4 linked regions of the Saccharomyces cerevisiae S288C genome follow. The gene in region 4 interacts genetically with the main gene of each other region. Each region holds a gene or a part of one and is shown on either strand. Other genes may lie near its edges.

Region 1 (4,312 bases), on a different chromosome or scaffold from region 4:
TAAATGTAGGAACTCTTTTTTGTTCTGCTGACCATACTTACTCTAAGGAAAAAAGTCAAACATAATGTCCATCCTTATCAGTAATATGTGAAAAATTCGCCATGCTGCAGCTAATATCACCAAAATCAGTGTATTTTTGACTCGATACGTATTGTAAAACGTGCCCAGTCCTGCATCTGCATTTTCAAACGGTGTCGTCGACACTGTAAAATAAATCTGTCCTTTGAATTGCAGGCATAACTTGAAAGAAATACACACTTTCGACATATAATAGGCGAACAGGCCTTAAAAAAATTAGTTTAATGACAGAAGCACCACTCTTGTGGATTATCCTGAAAAAGTTATTTTACATTTAATATAGCGATATTGGGATTAAGTCATTTCCAATGGGTTTCCGGTCCAATGGTCCAGTGGTTCAAGACGTCGCCTTTACACGGCGAAGATCCCGAGTTCGAACCTCGGTTGGATCAGAATCTTTTTTATCGTAAAAGATAATAATTTGAAGTACATATCCATAATATAAGGGTGGTCAATATCCAAGATAAACGTCGCATTCCCATTTTCTTATTAAGCCGGTAAACATTGCTGAAATCTGCGAACAGGAATGAATGTTACAGTTACTGTTTATGATAAAAATGTCAAGTACAGATTAGAAGAGAATATCAAAAATAACAAGGGTCCCAGCAACGATGATCAACCAGCATACAATAATGAATCAAAGAGCACGGACGGAAGTGATTATGCAATGTTTCCCACTAACATTAAGTACATATTTGAGGACAACAATGATGAACTAGTAGATTCAAGTGATGCTGCTTTGACAGCAGGAATAGATAAGGTCGGAGATGAACTTGAAAATGTCATAATTGTCCAATTGGATGAATCGGGATCTCTTGAGGATATCACACTAATCAGCGACCAATATGAGCTTTTGTCACATAGGACAAATAGTCTCAGCTTGGAGGAAAACCAAATGAGAACATTATCATCACATGGTGATGATAAATCTAATGATGAAGAGGAAGAACTTAGCGTTGACAGTGATAGATTCAGAGTGGACTCGGACATTGAGCTCGATGTAATTTCACAATTTTGCGATCTGTCTCCTTTTCTTCGCGATTTGAGTTTGAATGACTTAATTAAACTCTACGTCACACAAAATGAACAATTACAAATGCTCTCCAATTCCGTATGAAAGCAAAAATGAAGCCGCATGGATGAGACTCTCTTAACTTGTTTATGTAGGTATATGTTCTCTATATTTTATGATAATTCTGCAAAATTTGCTGGCATCGGATTTATTTTGATAGAATAGAATTTTTCAATTTCTCTAAGTTTTGCTAAATCAGCTTTGGTAATGAAGTTTATAGCCACACCCTTTCTACCAAATCGACCACTTCTACCGATACGATGGATGTAATTTTCTATTATTTCTGGTAGGTCATAGTTAATGACTAAAGAAACTTGTTGGACATCAATACCGCGCGCCCAAACATCCGTCGATATCAGTACACGAGAATGACCTGTTCTAAAATCATTCATTACTTTATCTCTTTCTTCTTGTTTCATATCACCATGCATGGAGACTACAGCAAAGTTTGATTGGATTAGCCGCTGAGATAACCAATCTACTTTTTTCTTGGTGTTACAGAATATCACACATTGTGTAATGGTCAAAGAATCGTATATATCACACAGAGTATCGAATTTCCACTCTTCTTTGTCAACATTAACGACATATTGTTTGATACCTTCAAGTGATATTTCATCCCTCTTCACTAGGATTTTAACTGGATCATTCATAAATTTTCTGGTTACTTCTAAAATGTCCTTATTCATTGTTGCGCTGACAACAACAACTTGGCAATTTTTAGGCAATTTTGCAAAAATATCGTATATTTGTTGCTTGAAACCTAGTGTCTCACTCAATAATTCATCAGCCTCATCTAAAACTAACATTTGAACATTTCTTGTTTGCAACATTTGTTTCTTAATCATGTCTAATACTCTTCCTGGTGTTCCGCTAACGGCCTGGCAACCATGCTTTTGCATTTTCTTCAGGTCGTCTTTCAAAGTTTTACCACCTGTAATGGCAAATGCATTGACATTCATATAATCCCCTAGATTTTTTACTACTTGCCCAATTTGGCTTGCTAATTCACGTGTTGGAGATAGTATTAGAGCTTGTAAATCTTTCTTCCTTAAATCAATAGCTTGTAAAAGGCCGATTGTAAAAGTTGCTGTCTTACCTGTACCTGATTGTGCTTGTGCTATAACGTCCTTGCCCGAAATAATCTGTGTAATAGCCCTTGATTGGATAGAGGATGGTGCTTCAAAACCGTATGAGTATATTCCTCGAAGTAAGTCATCTTTTAGATTCATGCTTTCAAAAGTAGAAGACACCTTTAATTTTTTCGATGTTTTAAACTTCAATTTTTGGTCTTCTTCTCTGTCAAACGACATGTCTAATGAGTTTTTTTTTTGTTTCTGTACGGTCTATTTTATTTGAGTGAACAAATTTTTATACCTCTTGAAGGAGTGGTGGCCCTTTTATATTAAAATTTGTGTATAATTCATGTTTTTATTTTGTCTGGGCCCTGCTATTATCTAGCTCATCGCATAAAATAAAATTTTCAAACTTCGGCATAAATTCTCGACACTGATAGAAAAAGCAGATCAAATAGTAAGCAACTATGGATTGTACGCTGCCATCACGGATAATTCAATTTATCTGTACATTTTTCCTAGAGCATACCACAAGGGAAATCGTTTTTAATTTTCGTTTCCTGCATTAACAATTAGCGAGATAAATATTACAGGAAATGGACAGAAAAGCTGTCGAAGAAAAAAGAATTGTTATTTCTATCGGTGGAGGGCATGCTACTGGTGTTGGAGCAATTGCACTGGATTTACAAAATACTTTCAAAAGCCTATATAACTCTATCAATATAAGGGTAATAAACCTAGATAATATGATAGAAGGGAACATCAAGAGCTACAATAATAACGACTATGATTTTGATAATATCCTTAATTTGGTATATGAAAAGCACGCTGTAACTTCTCAAAATGACATGATTCAACATGATTACGAGGACCCGATAGATTTGATAATAGTATGTGGCTGTTATGCGCTATACGATAAACGCATCAACGAAATATCTCAATTAAAAGTATTCTTGGATAGTGATGCAGATAAAAGATTAATTAGTCTAATCAAGAAGAAGAACGTAGGGAGCAATGAACAACTAGCCCAGTTGATCACTGAGTATATGGACCATCTGCGCCCGGAGATGCAACAATATATAGAGCCCACTAGAACTTTTGCAGATTTGATCATTCCTTCTACAAATGAAAATCTAGGGCGCGCAGTCCTCGTGGACGGTATAGTTAAAGCAATCGAAGATACCAAAAGCCAAATAGAAGGCAACAATACGAACAACAAAATACGCCCACGTTTATGGGATTTCGAAGCTGAAACAATGGACTTGGAGAAAGATAGATATTACGATCTGTCATGAGGTCCTTGCCTTCTATATCTGCGCCACTTTTAATCGGCTCGATGCGACTAACATCCGTATTTACCCACACAAGCTTATTGATTTTTTTTTTGCATTCTTGGATCTCGATGGGCGCTTTTACTCCATTAGAACCATGCTCACGGGAAGCTGAGTTCTTACTTAGAGCTGGTCATAGATATCACCTATTTTGTTCATCGCCGTGACTTCTTTCGGCAGGGCGACTCTGCTCAGGAGCCCTGACTCGTGTTGCCTCGAGTAAACGGTATGTCAAAAAGAATAGGTCCAAATATCATATATATAGCACCTTGAACCCAAACAAATCCAATTACAGTACCCGTAGCTCACATATGTAGAAAGAGCTTTGCCTGGCACAAGCAATAATGTCTATAATCAAAAAAATTGTGTTTAAGAGATTCAACTCAACTTTGAAAAAAACTGCTCTTCATGACCTTCATGTGTCATTAGGCGGTACAATGGTACCATACGCAGGATATTCCATGCCCGTACTATACAAGGGACAGACTCATATTGAATCACATAATTGGACCAGGACAAACGCTGGTTTATTTGATGTTTCTCATATGTTACAAAGTAAGTTATCTGGTCCTCATTCTGTTAAGTTTCTGCAACGTGTAACGCCCACAGATTTCAATGCCTTGCCTGTTGGGTCAGGGACCTTAAGTGTTCTATTAAATCCACAGGGAGGCGTGGTAGACGATACCATCATCACTAAAGAAAACGATGACAATGAGTTCTATATTGTGACCAATGCTGGCTGTGCGGAAAGAGAC
Region 2 (5,373 bases), on a different chromosome or scaffold from region 4:
CAAGATGTCATTGCCAAGGACTTGTTGAGTGGTAAGACCGTCATGATCGCCGCTCACGGTAACTCCTTGAGAGGTTTGGTTAAGCACTTGGAAGGTATCTCTGATGCTGACATTGCTAAGTTGAACATCCCAACTGGTATTCCATTGGTCTTCGAATTGGACGAAAACTTGAAGCCATCTAAGCCATCTTACTACTTGGACCCAGAAGCTGCCGCTGCTGGTGCCGCTGCTGTTGCCAACCAAGGTAAGAAATAAGTCTGAAGAATGAATGATTTGATGATTTCTTTTTCCCTCCATTTTTCTTACTGAATATATCAATGATATAGACTTGTATAGTTTATTATTTCAAATTAAGTAGCTATATATAGTCAAGATAACGTTTGTTTGACACGATTACATTATTCGTCGACATCTTTTTTCAGCCTGTCGTGGTAGCAATTTGAGGAGTATTATTAATTGAATAGGTTCATTTTGCGCTCGCATAAACAGTTTTCGTCAGGGACAGTATGTTGGAATGAGTGGTAATTAATGGTGACATGACATGTTATAGCAATAACCTTGATGTTTACATCGTAGTTTAATGTACACCCCGCGAATTCGTTCAAGTAGGAGTGCACCAATTGCAAAGGGAAAAGCTGAATGGGCAGTTCGAATAGTACTTAAGATTAGTTAAAAGTCCATGATTGAACATTGATGTGGTAGTTACATGCATGATGAATATGCGCCATGAGAGGTTGGTGAATTTTGAGATAATTGTTGGGATTCCAATGTTGATAAAGGCTGTTATATTATGTATACAGAATATACTGGAAGTGTCTCCTCGAGGATATAGGCATCCCCAAAAAGGAATCGATATTTCTACATAATAATATCACGATTGTTCCTCATTCCATTTCATATGTTTCATTATCCTATTACATTATTGATCCTTGTATTTCAGCTTTCTCTAACTTCGATGACAGTTTCTCATACCTTATGTCATCATGTCCACATTTGACACCATATAAGATAATATACTGGTAGTATAACCACTAGTTGATGACGATAGTTGATTTTTATTCCAACACGCGGACATATTAAATGTACGGTGGCTAGCAGGCCTCCTATTCACCATATTTAATCTTCATTAGTTGTACCTTTGACCATTGACAATCAACACAATAATTATGAACAAAATTTCCTGGTACAATGATTATGGTAAAGAAGAAAAAAAACGCTGCTTGCTATAACCAAATCAGAAAATATAATACTATAATAAAAATACATCAAACTACTTATCTTCAATTATTTTCCCGCATAATTAGATCATATAACTGCTGGAACATCAAACAAATATTAGCTCGCGTGGCGTAATGGCAACGCGTCTGACTTCTAATCAGAAGATTATGGGTTCGACCCCCATCGTGAGTGTTTTTTACACCAGCAGTCAAAAAGAGTTACTTTTGATATTGCATGTGTCGATGATGCAACTATGTCTTTCTCTGCGTACGGAATCTAGAGCTATGTTAAATGCTTGTTTTTAAACTATCTATCGTTCATCTAGTTATAAATTATAATTATATTACAGTTTTTCATCTATCCATTCGCGCCATTGGGAAATTTTTCTTTTATTAATACTGCCCTCAAAAGCAACTACAGATGCTTCCAAATTTGCAAATTTGAACCCGTCGGTAGACTGTAAAACGTCTAGTGTATTCTCTGCATAATCTTCTTCGTTAATTTTTCTTTCAACCTCGTTCAACGATTTTTTCCTTCTTTCAATAACCTTTTGAATTTCGCTTTCTAAAGCATCCTTGATCTTTGATGGTGGTCTTGCAGTGAACAATTCGCTTTTATTGCATGCAATTAAGATATCAATACCATTTTCGCAACTAGATTCAGTAATTGATAATATGTCTACCAAGAACTCAGCTGTTGTTGTTAATTTCTTAGGATCAACTGTTGAGTCTACCATAAATATCAACCCTTTAACAAATTTGGCTCTTGTTTTCAAATAATCTGAGAGTTTATAACGCAACTTGACATGGCCTGGGAAGTCCACTAACGTGACGCCGGAACCATCGTAATCCGCTGCTGATAACGGTTCTTGAGAAACAACAGTTGGTCTTACTGAATCTGTGGTTAGCAGCGTAAGCAAGCTCGTTTTTCCAGAATTTTGAGGACCTGCAATGATAATAGATGGTTGATAACTTTTTTGCTTGATCCCTGTCTTGGAGGATGCCTTTTGCACTGCTATTAGCGCTATGGTTGTCCCTATCACCAATAAACAGGCAATAATAAGTGTATTACTAAGCATTCTGATCCCGTGTGCTATTATGCTAATAAACAGCAGTGGTAAAGTAATAATTAATTGATCAATACAGACACTTAAAGCCTAACTATTTCTTTTCTTCTCATCTTTTTCAAGTTTAATGATGGTTCATATTTGTTTTCCATATCTCTTATTTTTTTCCGCCACTAGATGAAAAAAGTGAATGGTGAAAAATTAAGAACAGTATTGCAGCAAAACCTCTGACACTTTAGGACATAAGGTGGCCCGTCTAGTTTAGGTAAAATGATGAAAAGATGCTTCAGTATCCTACCACAAAATGTCCGGTTCAGCTCAAAGTTCACAAGTTTAAACTTACCAAAGTTAGATTTGGCGGATTTTATAGACTCAAATAAAAGAGGAATCAATGTTCTTCCGTCGTACAGAGATGAAACCGCTAGCACCACTCAAGCAACTAATTCTAAAGAGCTCAGATTACTTTCCAAAACACTTCAGGGCCAGTCGTACCGGGACCAATTAGAGTTGAATCCTGATGTAAGCAAAGCAATCAACAATAATATTATGGCTGTACATATTCCCAATAATCTTAGAAGGGTTGCTACAAATTATTACAAAGAGATTCAGGAACCAAATTCATTACATCGTCCCTGTAGAACCAAAATGGAAGTGGATGCACATATAGCGTCCATTTTTTTACAAAATTATGGTTCTATTTTCCAAAGTCTGAAAGAATTACAAAAAAGGGTAGGTCCTGATAATTTTAAACCTCAAAGAATCCTTGATGTTGGATATGGCCCAGCGACTGGTATAGTTGCCTTGAATGATATTTTAGGCCCAAATTATAGACCTGATCTAAAAGATGCCGTTATTTTAGGGAATGCGGAGATGCAAGAAAGAGCCAAAATCATTTTGAGCAGACAACTTAACGAGGTGGTCGATACTGTAGAAGAAAATGTGTCTACAGAGAAAGAGCAGGAAACAGATAGACGGAACAAAAACTTTCAAGAGGATGAACATATTGGAGAAGTGATGACAAAAAAGATAAACATTATGACTAACTTGCGGTCTTCTATTCCCGCATCTAAGGAATATGACCTCATAATATTAACGCATCAACTTCTTCATGACGGGAATCAATTTCCAATTCAGGTGGATGAAAATATTGAGCACTACTTAAATATTCTAGCGCCTGGAGGCCACATTGTTATTATTGAACGAGGCAACCCAATGGGATTCGAGATTATAGCCAGGGCAAGGCAAATTACGCTTAGACCTGAAAACTTTCCAGATGAATTCGGAAAAATACCAAGACCTTGGTCTAGGGGAGTAACAGTCAGAGGCAAAAAAGATGCTGAATTAGGAAACATTTCCAGTAATTATTTTCTGAAGGTGATTGCACCTTGTCCACATCAAAGGAAATGTCCCTTACAGGTTGGAAATCCTAACTTTTATACTCATAAAGAGGGTAAAGACTTAAAGTTCTGCAATTTTCAAAAAAGCATCAAGCGTCCCAAATTCAGTATAGAGTTAAAGAAGGGTAAACTTCTCGCTACTTCATGGGATGGTTCTCAAGGAAATGCGTCGAGGCTAAAAGGAACGGGAAGAAGAAATGGTCGTGACTATGAAATTTTAAACTACTCCTATTTAATATTCGAGAGATCACATAAGGACGAAAATACGTTGAAAGAAATTAAGAAATTACGGAATGAAAATGTGAACGGCAAATATGACATTGGATCACTGGGTGATGACACGCAAAATTCCTGGCCTAGAATTATCAATGATCCTGTCAAACGTAAAGGTCATGTTATGATGGATTTATGTGCGCCATCAGGAGAACTTGAAAAATGGACGGTTTCGCGGTCGTTTTCTAAACAAATATACCACGATGCCAGAAAGAGTAAGAAAGGTGATTTATGGGCCTCAGCGGCCAAAACACAGATTAAAGGGCTGGGAGACTTGAATGTTAAGAAGTTCCACAAGCTAGAAAAGGAGAGAATCAAGCAGTTGAAAAAGGAAGAACGTCAAAAAGCTAGAAAGGCTATGGAATCTTATAATGAATTGGAGGACTCTCTTCAATTTGATGATCATCAGTTCTCAAACTTTGAGGTAATGAAGAAATTGTCCACTTTTCACGGCAACGATTTTTTACAACATGTAAATAGAAAATAGGAAATTGTAAGTAACTGGAAATAAAGTAATAATATTAATATATTCAATACTTTAATATTCTACATACGTGAATATGATATATATATAGTACAGTTTGTTGCAGCGTTTCTAAAAAGCCAATAAAGATGACAACTGAGTGTATATTATATATGATAAAACCTACCCTGCTGGTTCCATAATTGAATCACTTTATTAATGCTCTTCTTTTGAAGTAAATTTCGTTTCATCTGTCTAGTAATGAAATTACTTTCTTCTGAAAGATGTACCCTCAGAAAGCTTTGCCTTACCACCAGTTGGGGTGCACAAAATTGTTGAGCAGGATTCGCAGGTAACTGCAGTTTGGGCGTGTGAGAAAACTGTAGTGATGTTCAAACAACCTGGGCACTTAACGTCTAGGAAGTACGATCTTGGACCTTGGACTAATGTCTTTAATTTGTGCTTTCTTGCTTCAGAAGCTGCAGTTGGGTGCAATAAATCTTGAACTAAAACCTGTTGTAGACGAATAAGAAATAAATCTAACTGTTAGTAAACTTCCTTTTTTCTCCTCATCTCGGTGCAGAATAGAAAAATAACAATAGCTTGAGTTGCTGGGAATGAAGTTCGCCATCATCAGAATTTTATATTCCCCTACAATGAACTGTAAGCTCATACGTCCATCCTGAATCTTATCCACTATATGTAGCAACCGCTTGAAATATTTCAAAAGTCTTTCTTCATAGTTCTTGCCTCTCTTGGTGCAAAATTTTCCACCACATGTATTCTTTTCTTTTTGCGACTTATCTATATGTATTGTTCTATTCACTGGTCCAGTTGCGCTGCATTTATTGGATACTAACATACCATTTTGGGATATCTATCTTTGCTTTGTTGGAAGGTGTTACGATGAAGTTGCTTGTTATCGAAATTAGACTCCGCTTATACAGAGATACCAA
Region 3 (5,388 bases), on a different chromosome or scaffold from region 4:
ATTCACTTGGCCTTACTGGCAATCATAATCATTTTGACGAACTGCGGACATCGAGAGTACCCTGCAAATATATCTAGAAAAAGAGGTAAAAAAATATTGAAGGGTCAACCTGAAAAAAATTGAAAAGTGAAAATAGATCTGCTGATAAATAATGCACGGCTTGCATCAAGTGATCACATGGAACTTTCCCAATACCTCAACTACGCATTTTCCCTTGCATATTATATCATCATCCATCTTCTTTGCCTCTCATATATTTACGAAATAATACATAAACATAAAAACGTCTTTGTGCGTCCAAGTAAACTTGAAGACGCACTCCCGTTATATAAAACTGGGAAGAACACTAACAAAGAAGGTGACTTGCGCTTAATTAGTTTTATTCCCTTGCTTCTAAAGTCCGTAAAACATTCTATTAGAGTCTATACATAGTTTTGCCTTACCTTTGAATATGAGTTCTAAAAATTCCATTGCAATAAAGCTTTCCGTTCCTATTGTTTCTATGTAGTGTTTAAGACTTTGTTTCTTTTCCTTTCATGGCTTTTCAAATGTCTCAGCATATTGCTTTTCACATTGAAGGATTTTGTGCAACCCTCCCAAGTACATTTGAAAGGAGTATCTCCCGTATGAATTAAGTAATGTGTCTTCAGCGTTGAGGGCCTCGAACAAATTTTTCCACATACTGGGCACTGCTTTCTCAGCTTTGTGGATGATATTCGGGTGTCAGTTTTCCAATCAGAAAATGTTGCTGAACCGTTCAACACGGCACCAGGTTCGCTTTTTGTTCTGCCGTTACTGGCTTCCTGCATGGTTGGAAGTACGCCATACCCAGGTGGGACTGATTTTGGCCTATCGTGGCATAGCTCTAAGGCAGCGTTTGGGTGACTCGCCATTGATATTGCAGTGAAGTTAGGTTCGGAGGCAATTGTTATTGGTTCTTTGTCGTATGGTGTCAATGGTTTATATACTGTTGGGACCATGACTGGCATCATCAAGGGAGCAGAGGAGGTCAAATGAGGAGACTGGCTATGTGGTATTGGTTGCTGACTTTCCGTATAGTAGATAGGATATTGATCAGATGTTGCGTTCATGGAAATTGGGGTGTAGATCTCATTAACAATGGGTACAACATTCATGCTTTGATAAACTTGCTGTGGAGGGAATTGAACCCTTGAATCTACGTTAGGTGGTGTATTATTTTCAAAATTAGGCAAAAGGGATGAAATTGGTGGTAAGTTTATTTTCGTACTATTATAACATTCCCGTTCATTTTTGTAGCTATTGTGGCCATAAAATTGAGTCCCCTTACCAGTGCTCAGCTGATCAACTGCGGACACTTGAAGGGGGAGGTTCGATTTATAATTGACTGTACACATTCCTATATTAGGAGATCTTGACTTGTCTGTATATGATGATTGTTTTTCTGAACTTTGCTTTGAAAGGGAAAAATTCATGTAATTTACTTTAGTGGCGTTTACTGCTATTTTTCGAAGGTAGGTGATGAACTTGTGTTATAACTAAGAAGCTCAAAACTAAAAGTATACTAATGTTTGAGGAATTATTGTGAAGCCATAGAACAATAAAAAGCTAACAATTGTATCTTTCGTTCAACTTGTCAAACCCTGACAGGCATATAAAAGAGGTATTTTGAAACATCAACATGTAGTAGTCACATATATAGCAAAATAGTAAGTAAGGAAAAAAAGAAGGCACAGAGAATACAACAATAATGATGAAGGCACACGACTGCCCTTTCCGGGCCACCTGCAGATCTGTAAGGTAGTTCAAATGACGTTCTCGCGCGGGTTTCTTACTTATGAAACTTTAGGGACATAAGTCGGGAACCTGATGCATCATTCTTTATCTTGTTTTTTGTTGTTGTTTGAGTTTCTTGTACAGAATAATACGCAGAATTAAAGCGGAAGTTAAAAAACAGATCGTCTTGATCTGCCCTCAAAACCAGTATCCACTGAAAACCTTATTTCCCACCGTAAATGGCAATCACTCGTAGCTCAAGGTGGAATGCTCCCGTAAGGATATTTCCTATATGAGATAGTCCCGATCCTGAGAAGAGGGATCGCCGTCATTTTATTCTTTAACCCCGAGAAACGGCATCTCTCACCTGATTGTTCTCAAGATTGCTGCAAAACCCAGATATACTTTTAGGTACGGAGCGTACGCGATGTATATGGATTGATTTTCACATGTATCGTTTATGAGTACTTGACTGCACCTCGTGTCGGAAGATTTTCCAATCGGGCTTTTTTTCAATCTTGAAGGCCCTCCTTTTCATTTCCATTTGCTCTGACATTGCGGCTATGCATCACAGGCAAAAGCTGAAAAGGAAATTTTGTAGCGTATCGGTTTACTGCACAGTCTCAGACCCTTTGTAGTACTGTTACCTGGAAGAATAGTAGGTGCGTACAACAGTGATTATGTAGTAGTATCTACTGAAGAGCCTACGAGCGAAAAAAAAAAAAATTATCGGCTACATTACGTTGTTTCCTACGGAGACAAGAACCAATATAAGCTGCAAAAAATCTATGAGCATTTTAAGTTTCCGATACAACAAGATGTATGCGTACTATTCACGTCGTGTTATATTGCTCACGTAACAACTTCTATGACAATAATAAAAAATAACCTTTCCATTGTATCATTAAGGTTATCTACGGAGGATTGTCAAACCTAGCGGATATGAAATGTACTTGATTCCTAATTCGGGTTTATTTAGAGTTCAGACTATGTGGGTCATTTCTTATGCTAATAATAGGCACTGAGGTAAGTCAAAATAGCGACACTCAATTACTGTTGAATGGGAAGAAAAAACCGAGAAAGGGATACAGAGATCTTGCCCACGCCTTTTTTTCAAAAAGAGCCCTTCGCAAGGTTGCTCAACGGGATTGTCATAGAAAGAAAAAATCAAAGCCAATAACTACAAGGCCAAAAGTAATGGTAGGGAGCTACTACAAAGTGGGCTCAGCCTACCTGAAGAAAATAAACAATTAATGGACAAGATCTGTTAGCGGACATACAAGAGATCAAATTACCTTCTGGTTAATGCTGTAGGCGAAGCAAACCATTCAATTGAGGAAACCTTATTCCCAATTGCGCTTTTGCTCCCTGGAAGCCTATAACAGCGTGTGGGCAAATAAAGTTGTTTTTCGCCCTCAGCGACTTTACTTCGGAAACTGAAGAGCGGCTAGAAATTTCGCAGAAAAGATTTTCCTTTGAGGATAGAAAAATGAAAAAAAGAAATTTATCTTTTTTCACAACAGGTGCTGCTTTTTCCTCACGTATGCACAGAATGCAAAGTACAAGATTTGTAATACGCGACTCCGCGCAGCTGTACTCTACTCCCAAGTCAGCGGAAAAAATGCAAGACATACAGAAAGTTGCCGCTTTATTGGCTATTTTTTTGGGCGACAGCCCTGGCTAGCCTCCTCATTGGGTTGTAGAGGAAACAAAACTGAGATGTCTTTGGACTAATGTCAGCAATAATAACTCGTAAAATCAAGTCAGAATTTCTATCCATTCAATAGGTATTCATTGTTTATGAAACTAAGAAACGAATGTAAATAATTCTGGGATATAACAAATAGTTCCCTTTGGATTACTTAAAACATAGTACTGCAGCTAAAATTTGTAAAAATGTTAACGTTTCTTTGCGTTGAGTAACTTGACCTTCACACGTAGTTGCAAGTACCGATGCAAAATTTTTACACTGGTGACAACCTTAATGGTATAATCCAATTAGCGACATCACCGAGAAAGTATCCAAGTCGATTTGATGAATAAAATAATAACTTAAACATTCAACGCCGTTTGTTAATACTGACACCTGAAGGAGAGTCAAAAAGGCAAACTTTCTTGCAACAATCATAAAGCTAAGGCACCGCTAGAGCTTACGATATTGGCCGCAAAAATAACTATTACACTTTTTCGTTTCTGTGGAAATGTAGGGTGATCAACTGGCTAATTGCTGCCTTTTAAGATATGCGGAGGAGATTGTGCAGCCATTTTCATTTTAGCGACTCATTGATGGAAGTATTCAAGTCAAGATCACTTGTTTAAATTCAAGACTACTGTTTAAATTCATAATTTTTTATTGCTATCTTTTTTTTACCACAGATCTGACCGACACTCCCGCTTATCGCCCATTGCGGCATATACTTAGGCAAGTCAAAAGCCGAGGACAGCAGTTGAAGACAGGCTACAATTTCTATAGTAGCTTTTTTTCGTTCCTAATTTCTCCAAACACTTTAAGTTTCTTGAAACGTAAATGATACTGCGAAAAATTTGATTTCGTTCTGAAGATACTATCAATTAAACGTGCACTAGGTGCTGTTCCCTCGATGAGCTGCCGCGCTAACCCGTACCCCCCAATTTTGAGCGATTTTAGTGAGTTGTGTTATATAATCCAGGGGTACTCTGCTCCGCGATTTGTGTGATAGCAGCCATAAATGCCCCACGCCAAAGTTCCACGTTCAAATAAAACTTACATCAAAAATTCTTTCTCTTTGAAGTAAATATGCGTGGGGATTGCTGAATAAGCAGCCCAGTGAACATCAGCGCTTTCTGTAAATCATTTATCAGCTAACAATAATTACATAATATAAACCTCCAATAACTGTCCTGCTAGTGGCACGTTGTTGGCTGTCAGAAACGAAATGTGGGTCCTATTTACCCCTTGGTTTTAGTATGGGAGCACGAATGGTAAACACCTTCTCATAAAATAACTGATAACGTCTTAAAGCGACCAAATACTTTATTGTTGCGGGCAAACATTATTGTTAAATGCGTGGTCTAGAAGTAAAATTTTCTGCATAGTTCACTGTTATGTAAATTTTGAACTTGAAATCTTTTCTTAGAAAGAGTCTGTCATCCTTGGAAACATTGCTGACCAAGAATACGATATTGTGAGAAGACATTGTACCCAAAAAAAATTTTTCATTCCTATAGTTTGGATTGGAGATGATTCAAACACAGCATATTCATGTGTTACCTTCCCGGTTATGCACGAGGTCAATGAGACCGTTCCCTTGTGTTGTACCAGTGGTAGGGTTCTTCTCGGTAGCTTCTCCGCAATAAGAATGATTGAATCATATTGTAACATTAGATTTTGGCCTTTCACTAATTACCGTAGGTAATTTTGTTGGTTAAACTGACAAAGAATAAGAGTTTAACCAACAAAATTAAGTCTTGGTGCATTGAATGGAAGAAAAGATGATACAACGCCAACCTAAAGAGTGGAAAGCGTTCTTTCAAATGAGGGTAGTAGGAAATTCAGCGGGAAAGTTTGAAAATGTGGTGGTAAAACAATAATCCTGGTTTTTCTTTGTTATCCGATAGGAAATTTATCCCCTTCTATGTTCCACTAATCACTTC
Region 4 (5,756 bases):
AAGAAACTACAGTGTGAGCTTTAGTTACGAGAGTGTGGATCTGTTCATTTAATATTTTTTATACGTAACGCAGCATCTACCGTAAAATCCCATAGATTGCGGGCACATGGCGCAGTTGGTAGCGCGCTTCCCTTGCAAGGAAGAGGTCATCGGTTCGATTCCGGTTGCGTCCATATTTTTAACATTTCATTTTTTTTGGGTTTAAATTTATTTTCAAACATTATTAATTGATTTCTTTAAAAACTTATACAACGTATGCTAATACTTTAAACTAAACCTTTTAGAACTATAATAAAACTATTTCAAGTAAAGTCTTTTTATCTGATATCTTGATTCATTTATAATAAAATTAAGTGACTATAGAATAGTGCAAGTGGAAGCGTTTTTCTTCTTTTTCTTTTGTTGTGAAGTAGCGCTAATTCCTGTCCTGTTGCTAGAACCAGATTTCGGAACGGCATGTGACGGTTTGTGCTTTTCATTAACCGGAGTAGATTGTTTAACTTTAGCTTGTCCTTGTGAAGATTTGTTATATAAACCTTTTGATGATTGCTTATTGTTTGATTGTTTCGTATCCTGTTTCGCAGAACTAGGGAGCCTGGTTGATGGAGACTCGATTTTGCTAAATTGTTGACTTTGATTTCTTGCGTCTTTAACTGCAACACTTTCCATTTCATTCCGAATGATTTGCCTAACTAAATCAACGAACACTTCATCCACATTGCTCCTCAACAAAGCGCTTGTTTCATAAAAGGGAACTCTACCCCATTTACTGCTTACCTCTATACCTTCTTCCACACTTATTACCCTTTCATTGATTAGATCAGCCTTGTTACCTATTAGAACCATTGGAACGCGATCGGAATCTTTGATCCTAAGGACCTGTTCTCTTAGCTCCATTAATTCTTCCAAAGATTGCCGATCTGTTACTGAATATACCAACAGGAACCCCATTCCTGACTTTATGTATAATTCTCTCATTGCAGTAAATTGTGCTATACCCGCTGTATCTAAAATTTCCAGGTCGAATACCTTGTTATCGATCTCGATGGTTTTCCTGTAAGAATCTTCGATCGTTGGATCATACGTATCCAAATAAACTCCCTGTACAAACTGCACGGTTAAGCAGGATTTACCGACACCACCAGCACCCAATACTACTAATTTATAGTCTCTCATTAGTCCTAATGTTTCCTAGCCAAATATTTCTAAGCGATGATAGAAGCCAAAATATTAGAACGTTGTATGTAAATGTTCTATATCGTTACTAAATAATAGTATTATTGTTCAGTGGAGAGGATGAAATTTCAAAAACTTCTTGGCGTAGTTAAGAACGAACGCAATGGTTCTTTTTTTCGAGATCGAGCTCTACTTTACTTTTTTCTTTTTCTGTCCTTCTCTCTTTTCTTTTTAACCTTTTTCGACGATATTTCGCGTTTGAGAATGTCGAGGATGAATGCGCTTTGACGCGAATTAGTTGTGAGGCTGACGTTGTGATAAAAAGGCGATGATTCTTGGGAATATACAGTCTGTTTCCACTTGCTAGATAAAATGTATGATATTCCAAAAATGCCTTTCTCTATTGAACTGTATGACTGAGATACGCCTGCTTTTACCTTGTATATTATGAGTACTATTCGCCTTTTCCCATAAAGTTGTTTTTTTCTGGGGTTTATGTGTATCGTAAATGGTACAAAATAATAAAATTCTTATCTTGAAAATACTGTTTAATACTTTTCATCATTACTAAATAGGTTACGAAAAGAGGTCTTTGAGAAATGGGAAAGGCCTGTTTGAATAAAGAAGTCGGCACTTACGAATGTGAGGGGGAAAGAGATACCTACTCATTTTTTACCTCTCTCTCAGATATACAGGATTCAAGTAGTAACGAGGAACAATGCGGTGTAGGAAGTATATTGAGTGAAGATAGTTTCACGTTTGAAGGGTCCAACGTGAGCATACGGTTATTTTCCTTGGACTTAAATGCCTTGAATGAAAATGAGAATGGATCCAAGAATCCTGTGAAATTTACCATTCCGCCAAAAATAGAACAAAGAAAGGAAGCAAGACAAAGAGAGAAACGTTTAAGGAGGGTGGCAGTACTACCTGAGAATTCGAGAAACTACCTTGTTGAATCAAGTATGGATTCAAGTAGGGAATACAGTCAACCATTTTTTGACTGGAGGCATGAAATGGTAGAACATGGAGAGGAGAGTGTAAAACCGTGTGGTTGTCATAAATCGAGAAAAGCAAAATGCTTCAAAGAACTGGAGATGGAGAATATAGAAAAGGGCGATATAAAGAAGAGTCTCTTTTACAGAGACATAATTGAATGGTGCAGAGACTATGAAGTCAATAAAACTAGGGAAGTCTGTGTTCCGTCTATACACGAGTTTTACCTACATGGAAATGGAAGTGACAACCTCTTTTGAAGTATAGCCATGCATATAAATATATGTGTGTGTAAGAAAATATTAGAAGTTTTCATAATCTAGAAATGTCAGGCTTTGGGCCTAATGGCACTATACCAAACTGATTGATCTTGTTCCTACTTACTTCCATCCTGATGTAAAAGAGCTTAATATGATTAAAATCTGTAGTAAATCTAAACTCTGCGTAATTCCAGTATAGATTAATCAACCACAAATGAAGGTACGGGAAACCATCCCTTATAGTTTTCAAATTGCATTTGAAGTGCTGCACGTACACGACGTCAAATCTAATTATTGATGGATACAATCTGATATCCGCTTCAGTTAACCTCTGTCCTAAAACAAAATATTTAGCCAAGATTTTCTGTTTGTTACCACTGAATTGCTCCTCTAAGCGCTTATAATTTTCTTTTAGTACACATTCCATCTTCTGCAAGTTTTCAAACAGTGTTTTTACTTCAGTTTCGTAAATCTTTCCGTTTTCTGCTAATCCGACTTTATAGACACCAAGATTAATCTTCGGATGAACCCATTTGATGTTCTTATCAATCTCGTCTATTAAATCATGCGGAACTAGATCAATCACGTTCGTTTCTTCGCTTTGGATAAATTCATCAAACACGCCACTGTTCAAAATTCTTATGATATCGCCACTCTCATTGTTAACAATTTTCCTTGTTTTAGAATCCCACAGAACAGGCACAGTGAACTTTGTACCGGGGTACTTAGGATCATTTAAGTAGTACAACTCGCTTAACCTTGATATATTTTCCACCGGGTCGAAAGCGCCATCCACGAACAACCTTGCAGAGTCATTGTTCACATCACCTAACTCCTCAGATTCGTCTAATTTAGCTGAAGCAATGCCACCAGTGGCAGTAAAGAATCTCTCTTTATATTTTTCCGGCCGGTGTGGAGCAGGTAAGAAACGGGCACCCTTGGAGTCTAATTGCCAGTGAGATAACACAAGCCCTAGAACAGGTTCTAATTTCTTCAAAGACCTGGCAAGAATGGCTCTATGAGTGAATGGACACCCAAGGGCCCCGTAAATATAATACCTTCCTTTTTCTGGTTTAAAAACAGAATGTGTCTTAGAAATTGTTCCCTTGTAAGATACTGACATGGCTTACTGTTTATGATTATTTTTACGAGTATTTTCCTCTATAAGTGGCCATCTCTCCAATTGGCAAAGTCAAGACTTTTGTTATGTCAATATGTGCTACCAAAAATCAAGGGTATTTTCCCACCAGAGCTTATCAATGGCAACTGTGAGATATGAACAGCAGTTAGTAAGGGTGTGTTCTCATCCGACCCTCTGATTCATTTGGTGGCCATTACATTTTCCCTCAATGACACATTCCCCTATTTCATAACTGATTAAAATGGTAATGGCACGTGATAGTAGTGGCTCACAAAACAAAATTTTCTTTCTCAGCGCTGACAAAGCTTCATTTGCATTCTAACCTTATCACAACAACTTCAACTTCACCCAAGTAAGGATAATCAGCTCTGTCGTGACTGATAAATGCTATATCCGGCATATGCAGTCCACACGGCATTACCGTTTCACTAATTTATTGCCATCTTCCTCCACAGTTTTGCACCGAAAGGAAAAAAAGAAACCAACACCGAAAATTTTTTTCTCCTAAAGGTTAAAGTAAACGCAAGGCACTTCACCAGGCTTGTATATATAAATGTCGTGATGCTTCTATGCCAAAGTAAAAGGCAACACTTGAAGATTTCGTTGTAGGCCACTTGCTCAAAGGACATCTAGATAAATACGACGTAAGAATAAAAATGACTAAATCTGAGCAGCAAGCCGATTCAAGACATAACGTTATCGACTTAGTTGGTAACACCCCATTGATCGCACTGAAAAAATTGCCTAAGGCTTTGGGTATCAAACCACAAATTTATGCTAAGCTGGAACTATACAATCCAGGTGGTTCCATCAAAGACAGAATTGCCAAGTCTATGGTGGAAGAAGCTGAAGCTTCCGGTAGAATTCATCCTTCCAGATCTACTCTGATCGAACCTACTTCTGGTAACACCGGTATCGGTCTAGCTTTAATCGGCGCCATCAAAGGTTACAGAACTATCATCACCTTGCCGGAAAAAATGTCTAACGAGAAAGTTTCTGTCCTAAAGGCTCTGGGTGCTGAAATCATCAGAACTCCAACTGCTGCTGCCTGGGATTCTCCAGAATCACATATTGGTGTTGCTAAGAAGTTGGAAAAAGAGATTCCTGGTGCTGTTATACTTGACCAATATAACAATATGATGAACCCAGAAGCTCATTACTTTGGTACTGGTCGCGAAATCCAAAGACAGCTAGAAGACTTGAATTTATTTGATAATCTACGCGCTGTTGTTGCTGGTGCTGGTACTGGTGGGACTATTAGCGGTATTTCCAAGTACTTGAAAGAACAGAATGATAAGATCCAAATCGTTGGTGCTGACCCATTCGGTTCAATTTTAGCCCAACCTGAAAACTTGAATAAGACTGATATCACTGACTACAAAGTTGAGGGTATTGGTTATGATTTTGTTCCTCAGGTTTTGGACAGAAAATTAATTGATGTTTGGTATAAGACAGACGACAAGCCTTCTTTCAAATACGCCAGACAATTGATTTCTAACGAAGGTGTCTTGGTGGGTGGTTCTTCCGGTTCTGCCTTCACTGCGGTTGTGAAATACTGTGAAGACCACCCTGAACTGACTGAAGATGATGTCATTGTTGCCATATTCCCAGATTCCATCAGGTCGTACCTAACCAAATTCGTCGATGACGAATGGTTGAAAAAGAACAATTTGTGGGATGATGACGTGTTGGCCCGTTTTGACTCTTCAAAGCTGGAGGCTTCGACGACAAAATACGCTGATGTGTTTGGTAACGCTACTGTAAAGGATCTTCACTTGAAACCGGTTGTTTCCGTTAAGGAAACCGCTAAGGTCACTGATGTTATCAAGATATTAAAAGACAATGGCTTTGACCAATTGCCTGTGTTGACTGAAGACGGCAAGTTGTCTGGTTTAGTTACTCTCTCTGAGCTTCTAAGAAAACTATCAATCAATAATTCAAACAACGACAACACTATAAAGGGTAAATACTTGGACTTCAAGAAATTAAACAATTTCAATGATGTTTCCTCTTACAACGAAAATAAATCCGGTAAGAAGAAGTTTATTAAATTCGATGAAAACTCAAAGCTATCTGACTTGAATCGTTTCTTTGAAAAAAACTCATCTGCCGTTATCACTGATGGCTTGAAACCAATCCATATCGTTACTAAGATGGATTTACTGAGCTACTTAGCATAAATAAGA

The links.
Region 1: mutations in GTO1 (region 4) and FAL1 together harm fitness more than expected from each alone (negative genetic interaction), as found in Saccharomyces cerevisiae (one large-scale study listed by BioGRID).
Region 2: mutations in GTO1 (region 4) and SRP102 together harm fitness less than expected from each alone (positive genetic interaction), as found in Saccharomyces cerevisiae (one large-scale study listed by BioGRID).
Region 3: mutations in GTO1 (region 4) and CMR3 together harm fitness more than expected from each alone (negative genetic interaction), as found in Saccharomyces cerevisiae (one large-scale study listed by BioGRID).

What each region holds. Positions count from the first base shown.
Region 1 is NC_001136.10:484,955-489,266, reverse strand, and holds FAL1 (ATP-dependent RNA helicase FAL1), read right to left. Parts: upstream 2,464-4,312; coding exon 1,264-2,463; downstream 1-1,263. Other genes in the region: ATG31 (Atg31p), read left to right, coding at 605-1,195; putative uridine kinase DAS2, read left to right, coding at 2,823-3,521; GCV1 (glycine decarboxylase subunit T), read left to right, coding at 3,902-4,312. UniProt on the Saccharomyces cerevisiae protein: ATP-dependent RNA helicase involved in 40S ribosomal subunit biogenesis. Required for the processing and cleavage of 35S pre-rRNA at sites A0, A1, and A2, leading to mature 18S rRNA.
Region 2 is NC_001143.9:158,524-163,896, reverse strand, and holds SRP102 (Signal recognition particle receptor subunit beta), read right to left. Parts: upstream 2,297-5,373; coding exon 1,562-2,296; downstream 1-1,561. Other genes in the region: phosphoglycerate mutase GPM1, read left to right, coding at 1-255; tRNA methyltransferase RSM22, read left to right, coding at 2,555-4,441; 40S ribosomal protein eS27 RPS27A, read right to left, coding at 4,685-4,930, 5,282-5,284. UniProt on the Saccharomyces cerevisiae protein: Component of the signal recognition particle (SRP) complex receptor (SR). Ensures, in conjunction with the SRP complex, the correct targeting of the nascent secretory proteins to the endoplasmic reticulum membrane system.
Region 3 is NC_001148.4:584,132-589,519, forward strand, and holds CMR3 (Cmr3p), read right to left. Parts: upstream 1,455-5,388; coding exon 501-1,454; downstream 1-500. Other genes in the region: YPR014C (uncharacterized protein), read right to left, coding at 3,058-3,387. UniProt on the Saccharomyces cerevisiae protein: Probable transcription factor involved in the regulation of the transcription of genes involved in cell rescue and defense, as well as cell cycle and DNA processing.
Region 4 is NC_001139.9:794,317-800,072, forward strand, and holds GTO1 (omega-class glutathione transferase), read right to left. Parts: upstream 3,553-5,756; coding exon 2,482-3,552; downstream 1-2,481. Other genes in the region: Ras family GTPase RSR1, read right to left, coding at 358-1,176; YGR153W (uncharacterized protein), read left to right, coding at 1,776-2,429; cystathionine beta-synthase CYS4, read left to right, coding at 4,227-5,750.